2 linked regions of the Caenorhabditis elegans genome follow. The protein of the gene in region 1 interacts with the protein of each later gene in a pairwise test. Each region holds a gene or a part of one and is shown on either strand. Other genes may lie near its edges.

Evidence for each region. Proteins that work in one complex are often made in the same cells at the same time.
Region 2: the proteins of eps-8 (region 1) and lin-2 interact in a two-hybrid assay, tested with the Caenorhabditis elegans proteins (4 studies listed by BioGRID).

Annotation. Positions count from the first base shown.
Region 1 is NC_003282.8:14,873,204-14,884,017, reverse strand, and holds the start of eps-8 (SH3 domain-containing protein), read right to left. Parts: upstream 4,456-10,814; coding exon 4,403-4,455; intron 4,349-4,402; exon of another isoform or gene 4,328-4,348; intron 4,190-4,327; exon of another isoform or gene 4,169-4,189; intron 3,977-4,168; exon of another isoform or gene 3,955-3,976; intron 3,757-3,954; exon of another isoform or gene 3,736-3,756; intron 3,652-3,735; exon of another isoform or gene 3,631-3,651; intron 3,412-3,630; exon of another isoform or gene 3,391-3,411; intron 3,262-3,390; exon of another isoform or gene 3,241-3,261; intron 3,167-3,240; exon of another isoform or gene 3,143-3,166; intron 3,090-3,142; exon of another isoform or gene 3,069-3,089; intron 2,937-3,068; exon of another isoform or gene 2,914-2,936; intron 2,682-2,913; exon of another isoform or gene 2,661-2,681; intron 2,459-2,660; exon of another isoform or gene 2,435-2,458; intron 2,369-2,434; exon of another isoform or gene 2,348-2,368; intron 2,225-2,347; exon of another isoform or gene 2,204-2,224; intron 1,179-2,203; exon of another isoform or gene 1,158-1,178; intron 1,014-1,157; exon of another isoform or gene 992-1,013; intron 644-991; exon of another isoform or gene 623-643; intron 427-622; exon of another isoform or gene 406-426; intron 280-405; exon of another isoform or gene 259-279; and 3 more.
Region 2 is NC_003284.9:12,412,442-12,417,810, forward strand, and holds the start of lin-2 (Protein lin-2), read right to left. Parts: upstream 1,601-5,369; 5' UTR 1,585-1,600; coding exon 1,511-1,584; intron 1,460-1,510; coding exon 1,347-1,459; intron 545-1,346; coding exon 361-544; intron 1-360. UniProt on the Caenorhabditis elegans protein: May play a structural role in the induction of the vulva. May be required for the localization of signal transduction molecules (such as let-23 receptor) to either the basal membrane domain or the cell junctions.

The sequences.
Region 1 (10,814 bases):
CCTACTCTCCTTAAACATCAAATCGTCGAGAGAGCGTGGAGAATGCGAGAGACGCAGACAGGAATTGGCGCCGAGCAGGGATGCACGTAACATTTTGGCATTTATCAGTTGGACGGACGGAGAAATCATATTTATATGTGTATGTACGAAGCTTTGTATAAAAAGGGGGACGGTGTTGGGAATTGAAGAGCTCAAAAGGAAATAAATTTGAAATTATCCGGTGAAACAGTGAAAATTGAAATTAAAAATTACAGTTTCACCACACTTATTTCATTTTTTGAGGGGGTCAAAACAAAAAATCGTAAAATTATTTGTTGAAACAGTGAATTTTTTTTTTAATTTCCATAATTTATAAACACGATTATATGCAATTTCATTATAGTGTTTTAATTTTTTTGGTTTAATTTCAAAAGAAGAGCGTCGGTATTGAACGAATCAGAAGGAGATTTTCAAAAATTATTCGTTGAAACAGTGAAAATTTTTAAAAACTTCCAAAATTAACATTACACAAAGTTACATCTATACAATTTCACTACATTAATTTTTTGGTTTGATTTCAGGTGCTTCAAAAAATTGTACATGTACATTTTTTCCTGGAAATTAACTTTTTTTAAATAAATGTAAGTGTTCAGCTTTCAACGAACTGAAGAGGTCAAAAAGGAAAATCTTAAAATTACTTGTTGAAACAGTGAAAAATTTTCAAATTTCCACAATTAACTTTTTCTAAACAATTTCATTATAGTGATTCAATGTTTTTTGTCTAATTTTAAGCGATTTTTTCTTTAAAAAGAGAGAAAAATATATAGATGTTTCATTAAGCAACTGGTGAATTTTAATTTTTTCAAACCATTGTCAAAGTAAGAAAAACGTAAAATGGTATGTATTTATCAATTTTTTTTGGGTTTTCTGACAAATTTTACAAAGGTTATGATTGAAAGTATATTATTACAAAAAATACAAATCAGTATTTTTTAATTTAAAAATTTATGCATGGAAAATACAACATTACGGAATTGGAGTCGCAAAAAGAAAACTGTTATATTCTTTTGTCGAAACAGTGAAATTTTCAGAAAATTTCCAAAATTAACTTTCATTTGAAATTTAATGGTATACAATTTCACTACATTGTTTTAATGTTTGTAACGATCCGCAGTCGATGAAGACATGCAAAACAGGGGTGTGCGGCAAATGGAAAAAATTGCCGAGCTCGGCAAATCGGCAATTGCTGGTTTTTCAAAATTTGCCGAGCTCGGCAAATCGGCAATTGCTGGTTTTTCAATATTTGCCGAGCACGGCAAATTCGGCAAATTCGGCAAATTTGCCGTGCTTAACAAACTCGGAAAATTTTGATAATTTTTGATGTTTTTTGGAACACCAAAACTACCGAATTCTTAACACACATCTGGTTTCTGAATTAGTTCCGTGTAGTATGTCTGCTTAAGCATAAAACTAACTCAATTTTGTGTCATTTTACTAAATTTTTGGCGAAAAAATCAATAATTTTAGTCAAAATTGTACTGTAAAATTTTTGACGTGTGCGGCAAATTTCGAAATTTGCCGAGCTCGGCAAATTCGGCAAATCTACTTTTTTGAAATTTGCCGTGCTCGACAAATCGGCAATTGCTGGTTTTTTTAAATTTGCCGAATTTGGCAAATCGGCAAATTTGCCGAGCTCGGCAAGTCGGCAATTTTCGGCAAATCGGCAAATTTGCCGCACACCCCTGATACAAAAACAGAGAATTTTTTAAGAGAGAGTCGCATTTTTCACAAAGATTTTTAAAAAATTTAGAAAAGTCCTATACATTTTCAAGTTGCGATCAAAAATGGAACAAAAAGAAGCTGTTAAGTTTTGCTTATTCAGTCAAACTGTTACTATAAAACATAAAATTCAAAAGTTCAAGAAAATCATTTAGATATGTAACCAAATAATATTCTGTGAAACCGTGATTACGATTTTAGATTTTAGGTAGGTATTTTCATTAGAAATTAGTCGAATATTATTTGGTTACATATCTAAATGATTTTCTTGAACTTTTGAATTTTATATTTTATAGTAACAGTTTGACTGAATAAGCAAAACTTAACAGCTTCTTTTTGTTCCATTTTTGATCGCAACTTGAAAATGTATAGGACTTTTCTAAATTTTTTAAAAATTCTACTGTTTTCACTTTGCTACATAATATGTGAAAAGTTTGAATATTGATGAATTCCAGTGAATTACACTTTTAAACAATTCAATTTTCAGGTTTTTAAGAATACAATAATTGTTTTTAAATTTACTTTAATTGCTTAAATTGATACAGTTTCAGGTTTCTGACTAAAATTTTCGAAAACTTGGACACTGCGATATCCAAAAAAAATTGTTCTTGAAAGTAGGGAAATTCTGAAACAGTTCCAATTGTGCAACAAATTTTTTTTTCAACATTTGAGTTATGTACCAATAAGATTGAAATCAATAATTTTTTATGGTGGAGGTAAAATTTAATACTACATTGAAACATGGTAAAATGTTGAAAATATTATACTTAAAAATTTGCACAAAAAATAAACTGTTCCAAAAAACAAGCACATGTAAAAAAGTTAGCTATATTGGAGTTGTTTTAAAATTTTTCACGGTTCCAAATGTTTAATATAAAACTTTAGAAACATTTTATCAATGATGTGCTTTCAAAAAAATGCAGAAGACAGGGAAACCATAAAAAACAAATTAGTTTCAACAGAAAAAATTATTTCAAACGCATTATCAGAGTAATTCAAAATCAACTTTTGAAATATTCTAATCATTATTATAGGGGGTTTCGCAATAAATTAACTTTTAAGGTGTTTAATATTGAAAACTTACAATTAAACGACTTCACAAAAAATCACTGTTTCAAAAAACTAATTTAAAAAATGCAAAAAGTTCATTGGCATTAGGAAAATCGTTCACATTCCAAATAAGTTTCCAAAACCACACCCAAAGAGGTGTGGTGGTGAAACAGAGAAATAAGATATTCATCTTGAAAACTAATTAATCAACTTCATTTCGAAAATTCAATAAATCCTGTCGAACTGGGACATTTCAACGGATTAATTGGTTAATTAATTGATTGAGTTATTCTAGAACATTAAGGAAGTCGTTTTGACTTTAAAACTGAAAATTTAAGAAAATTCCGAGAGCTTACTAATTTATAAAATCTGATAACGAATATTTATAAGGAAAGCGAAATAGTTAATTTTCTTAATATTTTTTTATTAACAAGTAATATTCTTCTGTTGATATTATGCTACCAGAAAATGTCAATATTAAAAAAAAACAATGTGAAACGGTCAAAATTTTGATATTCACATTTTTTTTTTCCTTTTTCAAGATTTAGATTTTTAAAGATTATTTTTAATTTGCTAAAAAAAAAGTTTAAAGTAAATTCTTTAACGGAAAAGTAAATTCAGAAATTAAATAACATGAATCTGAAGCAGTTATTTGTTTGTTTTTACTTCTTCTTTCATCCAGTTTAAAATTTTCTGATTAAAGGATTCCACCCCCTATGAAAGTTCGACTAAACTGACTTCAACCCACTTTTTAAACCGAAAATTGAAACACTCTACAGTTTCAGCATCTTCATTTAATTTTTCTAATTTTTATTGACTCAGTAAGAATGTTGCAATTTTCGGTTTAAAAAGCGGTTTGAAGTCAGTTTAGTCGAACTTTCATAGGGGATCGACTTCAATTTGATAAATGATTTAATTTGATCTTCTCATAATAAAAAGGTCAGCAGAACAATTCATTGATAAAACTTTGAAAATATAACATTTCTTTGAAACAGCGATATTTTCGATTTTTTTTTCTATTTGAAAAAAAATGAATTTTAGGGTATTACGAGCCATCAACATACAGAAAACAGCTCTAAAAAGTCGCTGGAAGCAATTTAGATTTAAAAAAATTACTTCAACAAAAATGTTTGAAGCTGTTTTTTTTTCATTTTCATCCTGTTTGAAATTCTGGTGACTTATTAAATTTCATTTAACATCTATTGCGAAATAGTCAATTTTTGAGAAATATTTCAGTCTCAAAATTTATTTGCAGTAATGGATTTTCAAATACGTTGAAGTTAAATTTTAGGTTAAAAAATTTCGCAAAAATTACCGTTTCATAACTTCTATTTCAAAAAAAAGTTCAAATATTTTCTAGTTCTGCTTTCCTTAGTTTGTTGAGTTAATTCGTCTCACACCTTTTAGATTGTCAGCAATTTTTAGAAAATTGACACAATTTTGGGAGTAATTATCAAATACTTGGATTTTCAATACAAAACAAGTTTAAAGCTTTAAAAACTTTATTTCAATTGTAAAATTTGACTATCTCAATATGTAATCAAATTTGCCTTGTATTTGTGTTTAAATTATTTTCATAAAACAATATACTAACCTCTGATATGGATCCCCGCTCGGTGGACCCATCGATCCACCTCGACGCATCATTTTTAATAGATGTTTTACACTTCTTCACTGATGATAAATTTCCTCGCTTTTTAAGCAAATGGCATTTGACTGGCTGAAATAAAATCAAATTTAATTTAACTTTAAAGTTATGGAAGAAAAATTGAAGCATTGGGTTTTCGAAAAATTGTAGTTGGAATTGGAAAAGTAAAAAATATATGACATTTTGAAAACCAATAAAAACATGAGAAAAGTTTTGTTTTATTTTTTGAAAAAGACTCAGAAAATCCACCGAGCAATGTTTTTAAAAAATCAATGTTTCTTATAAACAACGTGAAACAGGAAAATTTTAAAGTTTTGGTTTAAAAAATTAACGAAATGATATGTTACAATAAGGAAGAAATTTTCATTTTTAATTATAAAGTGGAAAACTTGAATTCAAATCTCAAAGTTTGGCTCCTTTTTCGTAACTGTAAGAAATTCTAATGAATTTTAATTTTCGTGGAAAGTTTTAGGAAAATATAATTGAAGTTTAGAAACAATTTTTTAATTTTAATTTGGAAACTAGAGTTAAGAAAGCAAAAAGAGAGTATAATGGGAAGTTTTACCATGTTTTATATAACAAATGAAAATAGTGAAAAATATTGTTTTGAAAATAACATCATGAAAGCGAAAGCAATTTATGTGAAAATTAAAATTGAAAATTGATTAATTATTTTTAAAAAAACTTGAAACAGTGATAATTTGTTTCAAAAAATTAACAAAAAGATTGAGAGAAGAGAACATTAAAGCGGCTAGAGTGAGAAATTGAGAGAAAAATCTGAATTTTAAATTAAAACATTTTCAATTCACTGATTTATTTTTCACTAAAAACTTTTGTGAATCTGGAAATTTTAGTGAATAAAACAATACTCGGAAAATCAATGATAAATTTAAAAACAACTAAAAATTCTAGCAATAGCTATACTCTTGAAAATCAAGTCAATCAGATCTGAAATTGAATGAAAAATATAGGAGTAAGATTTATTTTTGTAGATGTATTAACATGACAGAATTAATTAAAGTAATTGAGTTAGATTTCAAAATCAATTAAAAATCGTAAATAACTTGAAGCAGTGATTATTTTTCAGATTTACGAAGAAAAAACAGAAAAAGATAACTTCTTCAACTGAAGATTTTGAAAATTGAGATTGAAAACGAATCTGAACGAAAACCGTATATTCTGTGCTAACAAGTTACATTTTTGAAACAGCATAATTTTTTTTGAAACGTATACAAGATGGATTTTAGACAATTTCATAAAGAATTCGCCACCGCTTTTTTTTCTATATTTAGCAATAGGAAAAATTGAAATTGAAGCAATGTTGCAAAAACCCCTATAACGCTGAAATAAAGAGTGTGAAACTGCAGAAAATTTAATGCAAATTTTCATAAAATTTTCTGTAAGCTTTCAAGTTTTCAAACTACAAAATCCCTTTTTAAAAACATCCAAAGAAACAAAAGAAAATTGAATTTCGTGAAATTTTCCAAAATCTGTTGTAACTGGGGAAAAAGTAAAGAAAATCGAATCAAAGAAATAATAAGTATCCGGGCCCCAGCATTCTCTAGTTTTCCTTCAACTTTTCCTCCAAAATCCATCCATCTTCTTCTATTTCCACGCCCCAAAGGCGTGTATCCAGTAGAAACCGAAACAGCAAAAAAACTGTCGATTGAAAAGGTGGGAGAAATAGTATGGTAGAGGTGAGAGACACAGGTGGAGAGAGAAAGTAGATGGATTGGAATTGGAATGAAAAACTGGTTGGGATTTGGATAGGTATTGAACTTAAGCTCGGTTGAGAATCATTTGAAAATTAGGTTAATTTTGTTAAATTTACTGTTTCACTTGCATTACTTATTTTGAAATATGTGGGATTAGTTGCTGTATAAAGAAACACTAATTCGTTTTACAAATTCGATTTTACAAAAGTTGTGCAATTTTTTACTGTGCTCAAATTGTAGTTTGTAGTTTTAGTGAAAATATATGTTAAATTTAATTTATAATTTTCAGAAAAAAATAGCTGCTTCACTAGTAATAATTAATGTGTTTGGTTGTGATTTAGAAGCAATATTTCAGATGCGAGAATAGTGCGAAGATAGTTTTTTTTTCTAATTTGAAAAATTCTGCTGTTTCATATTTTTAATTAATTCAATGTTTTTTTCGAGAAAATTATTGTGTTTGCCGCGAGAGAGAAACGGATATGAATTTATTTGATAGAACATTCATTTAAAGTAAGAAATTCAAAATACATTACGTAATTAGTCATAGTAATGTACATTCCCAGTTCAAAAAAAGCACATCTCTGACGTTACAAAAATTGAGCAGCTGTTTCTACAGTCTATTTTTTTTCCAAAAAAAACAAAAAAAATTACCGTTTCAGTTCTGTTAGCCGCTTTAAAAGACAATTTGAAACAGTAATTTTTCATTTATTTAATTACAAAAATTAGTGATTGTAAATTTGCCAATTCGAAACAATTAGAACACCTGGAAAACAATTAGTAATAACTTTTCCCTCCCCAAATCGCTTTCAATTCCTTCCGAATTCCGTTCAATTTCCCACCACACATGTTGACCTCCTCTCACCCGTATTAGGCAACGGGGAAGGAGGAGGCGGTAATTTGTAAGTCAGTAGTAGTCAACTTCTTCTCTCCACCCCCATCTCCCTATAACACACGCCTTCTATACTATTAGAAGACGCCCGCTAGGAGGCGATGACGAAGGTCAAATAATTCATTGGAAGGGAAGATACACAGAGAGAAATGATTGGGTGGGAAGGACACATTTCGATAGATACAAATTGCGGGAGAAAATACCGGGATTTTACCCCCCATATCGACACGCCCATGAGAAAGAAGTTGCGAGGGCCGTGGGGTCGAACTTTGGTGTTGTGAGTGGTAGGTAAGACCCTTACCGAGTGCGCTAAATGTGGACTTGAAAGAGAACATTTGGTGAAGAAATTCCTAGAAAGATCGGAAAGTTAGTTACAATTTTTACTGTTTCAAAATATTTGCAAAATCCTAATAGAATTCGCGGAGTAATACTAGAGAAGTAGAAGTCATTTGCGGGTTTTCACCAGTTGCGCCAAAAATCTAGGTATAGAAAAGTCCCATATTTTTCTGCGACATGTATCAAGACAACTTTTTATCTACCGTATTAGTATTGCATCCCCATTGTTAAACTTTGATAGATTATATCTCAGTTATCGTTTGTTTTATTCAAACATTGCCAACTAACAAAATATTTGCTAGTTCTTTTTCTATCATTTCGTAGTTAACAAAATATTGATATCTTTAAAATGAACCTAGATATAACGTTTCAAAGTTAAGTAGTCGGGTGCAATACTAATAGAGGAAATATGTATGGTATATACTTTTTTAAAAAAATTTTCTGTTTCAAAAGGTATGAAATTATTTAATTATTTAATTATATAAATTATTGAGAACATAGCTTTTTTTCAGTTTTTTAAAAGAGTTTTTGAAAAAAAAACCATGGGGTCGAACTTTGGTGAAGGTGAGAAATGAGCGTAAAAAGAAGGAGTTATGCTTATTGCAGAAAAAAAAACACAAAATATTGTTTCATGTTGTTAATTTGAATAGAAACAGTTGTCTCACTACATTAAGATGAAGACATCGTTTGAAATAATGTTTCACAATGATTATTTAATTACCTTGAAAACAGTAATTTCATTGAATATAGTCAATAAATTCGCGAAAAAAGTTAAATTTTCAAACTGGAAAAAAATCAAAAATTCGGTTTTTTTTCTCCTGTTCTTCCACAAAACTTAAGGAGATACATTGTTATATTTACACTTCAGATCAAAAACATTTTTTTTTCTCAACCCGTCCATTGTTGCCAATTCTTTCTCGACCCAACCGCAACTAATCTGTCATAATCTGTACTTTCTCTCATTTTTATAGGCTTTTTTTGGATTGATGGCGTGGCAAAGTACATAAGTAACACTTATTTGAAAACTTGAAAAGGTTTAATCGGTTTCAGGTAAGGCATTTGAGAAATAGTGAGAAAATATTTTAGTTTAGGATTTTTGATTTTAGTTTCACTATAACTATTATTTGGGAAATAATATTGCCAGATGTTCACGCCAATGAATTTTAAAATAATAATTCTTAGCCACCATGCGGGATCGAACCCCTAAATGCAAAATTACAAGCCAATCGCATTACCGACTGCGCCACGAGGAACAACGAACGGCTCAACCTGAAGCTAGTGATCTCAGACAGTATCACGTATCAACAAAATGTGCTACTGTACTAATTTGAAGATGGAAACTAATCAACATAAAACCTTAATGATAACATTTACGACTTCAAAATGTTGGTCATTGAAGTGCTATTTTCCTTGCTAGCGACTGTGTGTGTTTGTCTCGTTGTATGTTTAATGTACATATACTCATACATACACACAGTTTCGACTAGACGACGAGAGAGCGCAGAGAAGCAGAGCGAAAAAGGGCGTGTTTGTCGAATTATCATGTGTATGTGTGCTTTCTCTCTCTCTCCAAAAGAGCCTCGATTGTTTTGGCTCCGAGATAGAGAGAGAGAGGTAGGTGCTCACGGAGCAAATACAACAATCAATGTGCCGACGACGGTTCAAGGTGCTCGGAGAGAGAGCATCGATAAGCCGACTGGAATCTTTTGAACGGGCGGGCGTGCGCAGAGAACTTGGAGCATTTTATGTGGGGAACTAGAAATATGCAACATTTTGGGGATTTTCGGAAATTTCCGGAGCGAAAAGAGCAAAAAAGAGCCAAATGTGAACAAACTGTCAAGTGGACATGAGAACTTGATTAGCAAACAGCATAGATTAGAAGTCTTATAGTTAGGCTGTGGAAAATTTAATAAATCGAGTTTACAATAATATTTAATATTAAGTTTTTGAAACAGTAATTTTTTGAGTAAAATTTGTTGAAAATTAATTCAATTCGCATGTTCTGCAGCTGACTAAAAAAATGTTTAGATGAAAAAAAATTTACTGTTCTACATAAATCTTGAATAAATTTAAGTATATCAGCTTTTTAATGGTGTTGAGGTAAAGCCAAGTGAGAAGAAAACCTTTGATTCGCAAATAGTATAGATTAGAATTCATAATATTTGAAACAGATCAACATGAATTTATTATATACTAGTCAGAAAATACGTTTCTGAAACTGTAAACTTTTTAAATGAGAATTTTGAGAAGTATTCACTGTTTCGTATAAATGATTAAGAAATTCGAATAAATTATCATTCCCAATGTCACTCATGGCAAATTTTCACAAGTCCGACATTTTTGAGAAATTGTGAATGAAAACATAAAGAAAAAGTTCATTGTTGGGGAAATAAATAAAAATAGCGAAATTTCAAAAATCAATAATTTTTTTGAACTTTAAAAATCATTGTTTCACTTAATAGGTCTGCTAACTTTTATTTCTTTACTAGCATTTCCAAAACATAATTCTTCAACATTTTTTATTTAAAGCAAATATTTGAAACAGTAAATTATAGCATTAAAAAAAAGAAATGTTTGACATAGAAAAGAACTAACACCCCAAGCTCTGAATCAAAATAAATAAAATTCTTAAGTTCCACCCACCCAAGTCAAAAATGTTCTTATCACTGTCATAAATACCTATACTATCACTCACCGCCAACTTGACGTGTAAAAATAGAAATTTGCAAAACACAATTTTTTCCCCGTTTCTGAAATATTTCTTATATGAAACTTTGAAACATTGGTAACGAAAATAAAATGTGCAAACTTCAGACTACAAACGTAAAGAAATGAAACACTGAATTTATGAGAATTTGGTGAAACGGTAAGATTAATTTAAATTTAATATTTTGAAAATTTAATTGGGAAATTTGCCACCGAAAATAAGTTAATTAAGCTCCTCCCATATCTTGGCACTGTGAGTTTTTTAAATTAGCTTATCAGTTATTTTTTAATTGTGACTGAATTTATTAGTCAGAAAATAAAATCGTACAAGTAATAGAAATTTTGAAGAGAAAACTTAAGAAAAAATTAGCTCAAATTTAAGAAAACTTGATATCTACTATCAAAAATTATTTATCGATCCTTGAATTTTGCAGAAATGCGGCAACGTGTGGCAAAAGTTTTTGCATAATTCAAGGATCAGTAAATGAATTTTGATAGCATTAGAAGAGCATTAATTACGAAAAACTTTGGAATATTTGAAACAAACATGTAACATTTAAAAGAGTGAAAATTAAAACAATTGTCGATTATGATAAATTGAAAAAAAAATTATCAGAATAATGCAAATTAGTTATTAAAAATACAATTCCAACCCTAAAAAACTATGTTTTCAATAAATATTATATGGAATTATCAATTTTGATTTCTAGAA
Region 2 (5,369 bases), on another chromosome or scaffold:
TAATCTGGTGAAATTTCAGAAAATTTGTGGATCTAGTTTTTGAAAAAAGTTCAAAAATGTGCCATTTTTGTCGAATTTTCCTAATAATTGCCTAATAAATCGAATTTCCACTTTTATTTAGGAAAATAATCGTTGTTATATGTGATTTATCCATTTTAAAAACAATTTTGTATATATTTTTGCAGTTTTATCCATTATAATGTCTCATTCATCGAATTTCAATGATATTAAAAATTTAAATTCAAATTTCGCGCGCTTTGCAGCGGCCATGGCCTAGGATTCTCACTTTTCACTTTTCGCTAGGCCAGATGTCCCAATTTACACGCCGTGACACACAGTCTATATTGTAAAAATACAAACCTTACTACATATTCAGAAAATACGAATCCATTACTTGCTCTTTGAACTATTTCAAAACAAATATCATTTCCCTCCATGTTCTCAAAAATGATATGTCGATAATGAACGCTGTTGATAGTTTTTTCCAGTCGGCATATGTAAGGGTGCTGTAGATTTTGGCATATTCTAATTTCCTCGTCGATTTCTGAAAAAGAGATGGTTTGGAATGAAATAATTATATTTAGATCGGATTCGGTAAAATGATCAAAGTTCGAAATGACACATGATGGCTGATAGATTGATTGATGAATTGGGATTGGAGCTGCTGAGCTCATGAGATGAGAACTTTGAGGACATTTTGTGCGCTTCTGATTGGAAAACTGGTGGCGAGAATAATAATATCCGCTGCGGGGACTTTTTTTTTCTCAATTTTTAAAAGTGCACTCAGGTTGTTTTTTGAGAAATTTTTTATTCTTCAAAATCCACAATAAAGGTCAAAACATAACTTTAAAAAAAAAGTGTATTAACCACCTGAATTTGTTCAATTCGAAAAAAAACATCAAAAACTAATAATTCAGTCTTTTGTGAGACAGTGTGTTGAAACGATGACTTCCTGTTTTTAAAATGTTGAAACTTTTCTTTAACGGTCTCAATGGTATTTGGATGAAAACCAATGAAATTGGATATTTTTATTCTAATTAACTTTTTTTTAACTGCATTTGAGCCTCCTTTCGAAAGATATTAGTTCATCACTAGATCGATTAACATTACAAAAACCTATCAATTTTTGTAAAGACAAAAAACCAAAATTAAAAAAAGACTTTATCAAAATGGGAGAAAACTATTTTTGATACTTGTATAGTAGAGCAACTACAGCTACTACAAAAGTACACTGCTTCAACTTTTGAATTGAACAAATCATTTTAGTAGGTGCGTAGAATTTTTTTGGAATACGACTACTACATGTAGTCGTACCCCATGTAACAACTGTATAACAATAATTGTACCTTCAAATCCTAACCCGGTGTGCTGTCTGAACAAATTCAAATTGATTGATCTCAGTAAAAATTTTCGATTTGATGGTCCATGAAGTATTCGGTATACATTTGAAAATGGACCTCTGGAAATTCTTAGTTATTTCAAGAATTAACTGAATTTTCAAAAATCTTACTGTTCTATCACATCCCGGATCGACAGTTGTTCATCGAGGAGAAGGTTCGACTCGTCCGGGTCAAGCTCCCTCATTCTGTTTTAGCTGAAAAATGCTGATAAACGTGAATAAACAAATGATAAAGTTGAAGAAAAAAAAGAGATAACCAGAAAAAAACTCATAGGGACAGTGAATGATTATTAAATTGAAAAAGCATATCAGGCTCGCATGAATATTGAAATAGAGAGACTGGAGAGAAAATGGCAGTTTTTTGGGTCGGCGGCGGGGGGGGGGGGGGGGGCTCTACGCGTTTTCTTTCGGCCAATTTGATTTGATCGTTAGGAGGAGATATAATGTCAATAAATGATTGCAAGAGAGATTCATGTTTTATCAACCCCGCAACATTCTTTCGAGAACTAAAAAATTGAGGATTTGAGGTGGTACTTGTCTGATGGAAAATCTCATGTTGCGGTCTTATAAAAAGAGGTAAGCATTACGTCATTAATTTTAATGAACTTGAGTGCGTGGGGGACGGAAATCGTTAAACTTAGGATTTTTTCTTGTTTATAACATAATATTTTCTGCAAAATGCAAAATCAAACCATCCAATCTTAAATTATTGAAGCAGAACAACTATGTGAAAGAAAGTTTGATTGCGGCATGGCAGAGGAAATCAAGACAAATATGGACACTTTTCATCTTTTCCACCTCTAGTTTCCTATTGAAACGCGGCTGTATTTGTCATTTAGCAAACATTCCTGAATTTGCCGGAATAGTATCGTGTTTATTCAAAGTTGGCGGGTTAGCCAGATGTATTTGTAACAAAAACAGTAAACAGATTTGAAATCTTTTCAAAACACTAAACTTTAAGTTTGAGAGATGCTGAAAAAAAATTATTTGATATGAAAATCGTAATGTAATGTAATAGAAGCAATTACGTGCATGGGTTTTACTACGATCAATTACATAGAGAAACCTACATTTTGATTTTCCTACGTTCTCAAATGACTTGGGATCTAATTCTAATGCTCAAAACAATAACTCCTTTAAGGCTAACAAAGCCATTTTTTAAAGTTTTTTTTTTCAAACAATTTCGGTTTGCATCTTTTTCTGCATACTCTTTTTATTTCCGTTTCATACGTCTACTTAAAACTTTTTGAAAAATTCATTTCCATTTGGTGCAATAACTTCAACCAAAAAGTGTAACTATTCAAAAAATAATCGAGATTTATTTCAAGGAAATAACATTGAGCACAATAATTTCATAAAACTACCATTTTGTGCAGAGCTATACCAAAAACATGCTGAAAATATGTTTACTGTTAAGGTTACTACTAGTCTCAAATTTTTGACATATATATATATACTTTTATAATTTTTTTTTAGTTTGTCAGTTTATTTTAATCTGTATACACTAAACTCTTACACAATTTAAGTATTTCGCATTTTGTCACTACATATATTCCAGTTCACATTGAAGTTATTTGGAAGTTATTGCTTCTGAAATGCCCAATATATGTATACTCTGATTATACCATGGTTATTTTTTGTTTTTAATGGAACTTTTAAATTACTTATAAACTTTTATGTAATGGTTTTTACGTTTTTGTTTCAAAAACAATTTTAAATTGAAAAAAAAACTGAGTAGACAAAATTGAAACACCAACTATACATCCCAGTCTTAAACAACTATCAAAAACCGCGAAATATTAGCTTTGTGAAAAATTGGGATGCAAAAATGTTCAATTATTAGTCTCTCCATCGAATATTCAACAAATAAGGTGTTAGCAAAATAATGGGAAATAAGAAGAAAAAACAAATTTAATTAAAGAAGAAGACATAAATAACTACATAAAAAGGAAGGGATGAAGGAAAGATATTACATTTTTCTTTTTTTTTTCTTGGATTTGTAAGATATGACAAAATCTCAAAGCAGAAAGAAAAAACGAATAAATATGAAAAAAAAGAAAATATGAAGTTTTTTTTGACACCGGAAAAAAACTGGATGAAAGAGGCTCGACAAAGAGTAGAAAGTGGATGTTATCTCTCCCAGTCTCCAGAGATACACAGTTTTATGAGTGTCGGTTGGGTGAGTTTGCAAGATAAACACGATGAACACCTGTTTCTATGATGCACGGACGATGCAAAACAATTCATTGGATGATACAGCTCCGTCTTGATGGAGTCGATGGAAAGTGAGAGGAAGAAGAAAGAATTGTGGAAGAGCACCAATTTTTTGGCTTCCGGTAAGTTGTTGGCATTTTTTGTTACAATTTTAGGGGCTGATTTTTTTTGAAAATGAACTTTTTTGTTTTCTAGGTGAAAAGAGGAAAGTGAAAGATTACTTTCTCAAATCCGGCTTCATTTCTAATTCCTGGGATCTTACTTAAATGAATAAAACTAAATGAAACTAGAGTATTTGGAAATAAAGCCTTGAGGTAAAAAAGAGTATGCTCAGTTGAACTTTTTAAACTTTCCTTGGTGATTATTTCTTAAATTTATTTTTCAAAATTATTTATAGCTGTTTGAAAATTCGAAAAATTGCCTAATGTCATCAAAAATCCTCAACTATGGTTTTTTTTTCGTGTCACAACGAATTATTATTATTTGCATATTTTAGTTGGTGATTTTACTTTATTTTGTTAGATAAAATACATACAGCTGAAAAGTGACTAACATTGCAAAAATTGAAAAAAAAAGTTACTACTGGAACACTATTTGGAATTTTAATTTGTAGGAGGCTCTATTGGAAATTTTGTCAAAAAATACTTTTAGAAAACTAAACACGGAGAACAACTGGGAATCTTTTACTTTAATGTTAAATAATTCGTTTTTGGAAATTGCGTTTAAAAAGTATCATTTTTAATTTAAAAATTCAATTAAATATTGCCACTAGTGTAATTTTTTCAAAATTGTGTCATAAATACATTTAATTTTTTGCGCAAAATCGTCTTATCTTAGGCTTATCCGTTTTTTTTTTTTGAAAAATCAGATTTAGTAGATGTTATTTTAGCTTTCAAAGAGTTCTTCTTCTTCTTCGCTGAAACCTATATCGTTTTGAATGAAATAGTCTAGACATCAATTTTAATCAATTTTAACAAAATGGGACCATCTTAGTTTGAAGTAGAAAAACGCAAAAAACTAGTGGAAGAAGAAAAAAAAAAAAAGATGAAAGCGTGAGAATATTCAGAGAAAGGGGAAATCTCGGGAGAAGAAGCGACAAAACAGAGATAATAGGTCATGGAGTAGTAGTGAGAAGTGGGAATACTAGACGACGTAAACGAGCAAAAAGAGCAGTAATATTAGAAAGACAACAAACGCGGCGATACATAACATCCAAAATTATGCTCATGGATCTGTATGTGACACTTTTTTTCTCTGCCTCTGTCTTAGTCGCCTTCTTTTCTTTTTTTTTCTTCAAAAAAATTGACAACAAGAAAAGAGGAATACTCCTGCATACAGAGGGTTCATCATAGGGTGTGTTTTTCCTCCTTTTTGAGGTGCCGAAAAACATATCCACGCATATTGGTTCTGGTTGTTTAGTTTTCGAGAGGTGCGACTCCAACCCACTTGTGAAAAAAGAAGGAGAAAAAACTTTTTTTTGCTCCGTGTGCATGTCTAGGTTAGGTCATCCAACCTTTTCCTCTTCCGTTCTTTCAAGCGGGAAGCCTAAACAATTTTTATTTTCAAAAATTACTTTCCATTCCTTTTTGCTGTTAAAAAATCACATAATCATTTTATATTCATGGACTAATCAAATTTGAGTTTTATAGCAACTATCTTCTGATGGTAGAAATATAGTTGCAAAGTTTTTCGGATTGTTTGTAAAATCTCTGGAAAAGTAACGATTCATCTTAACTTTTTTTTTTTAAATATAAGA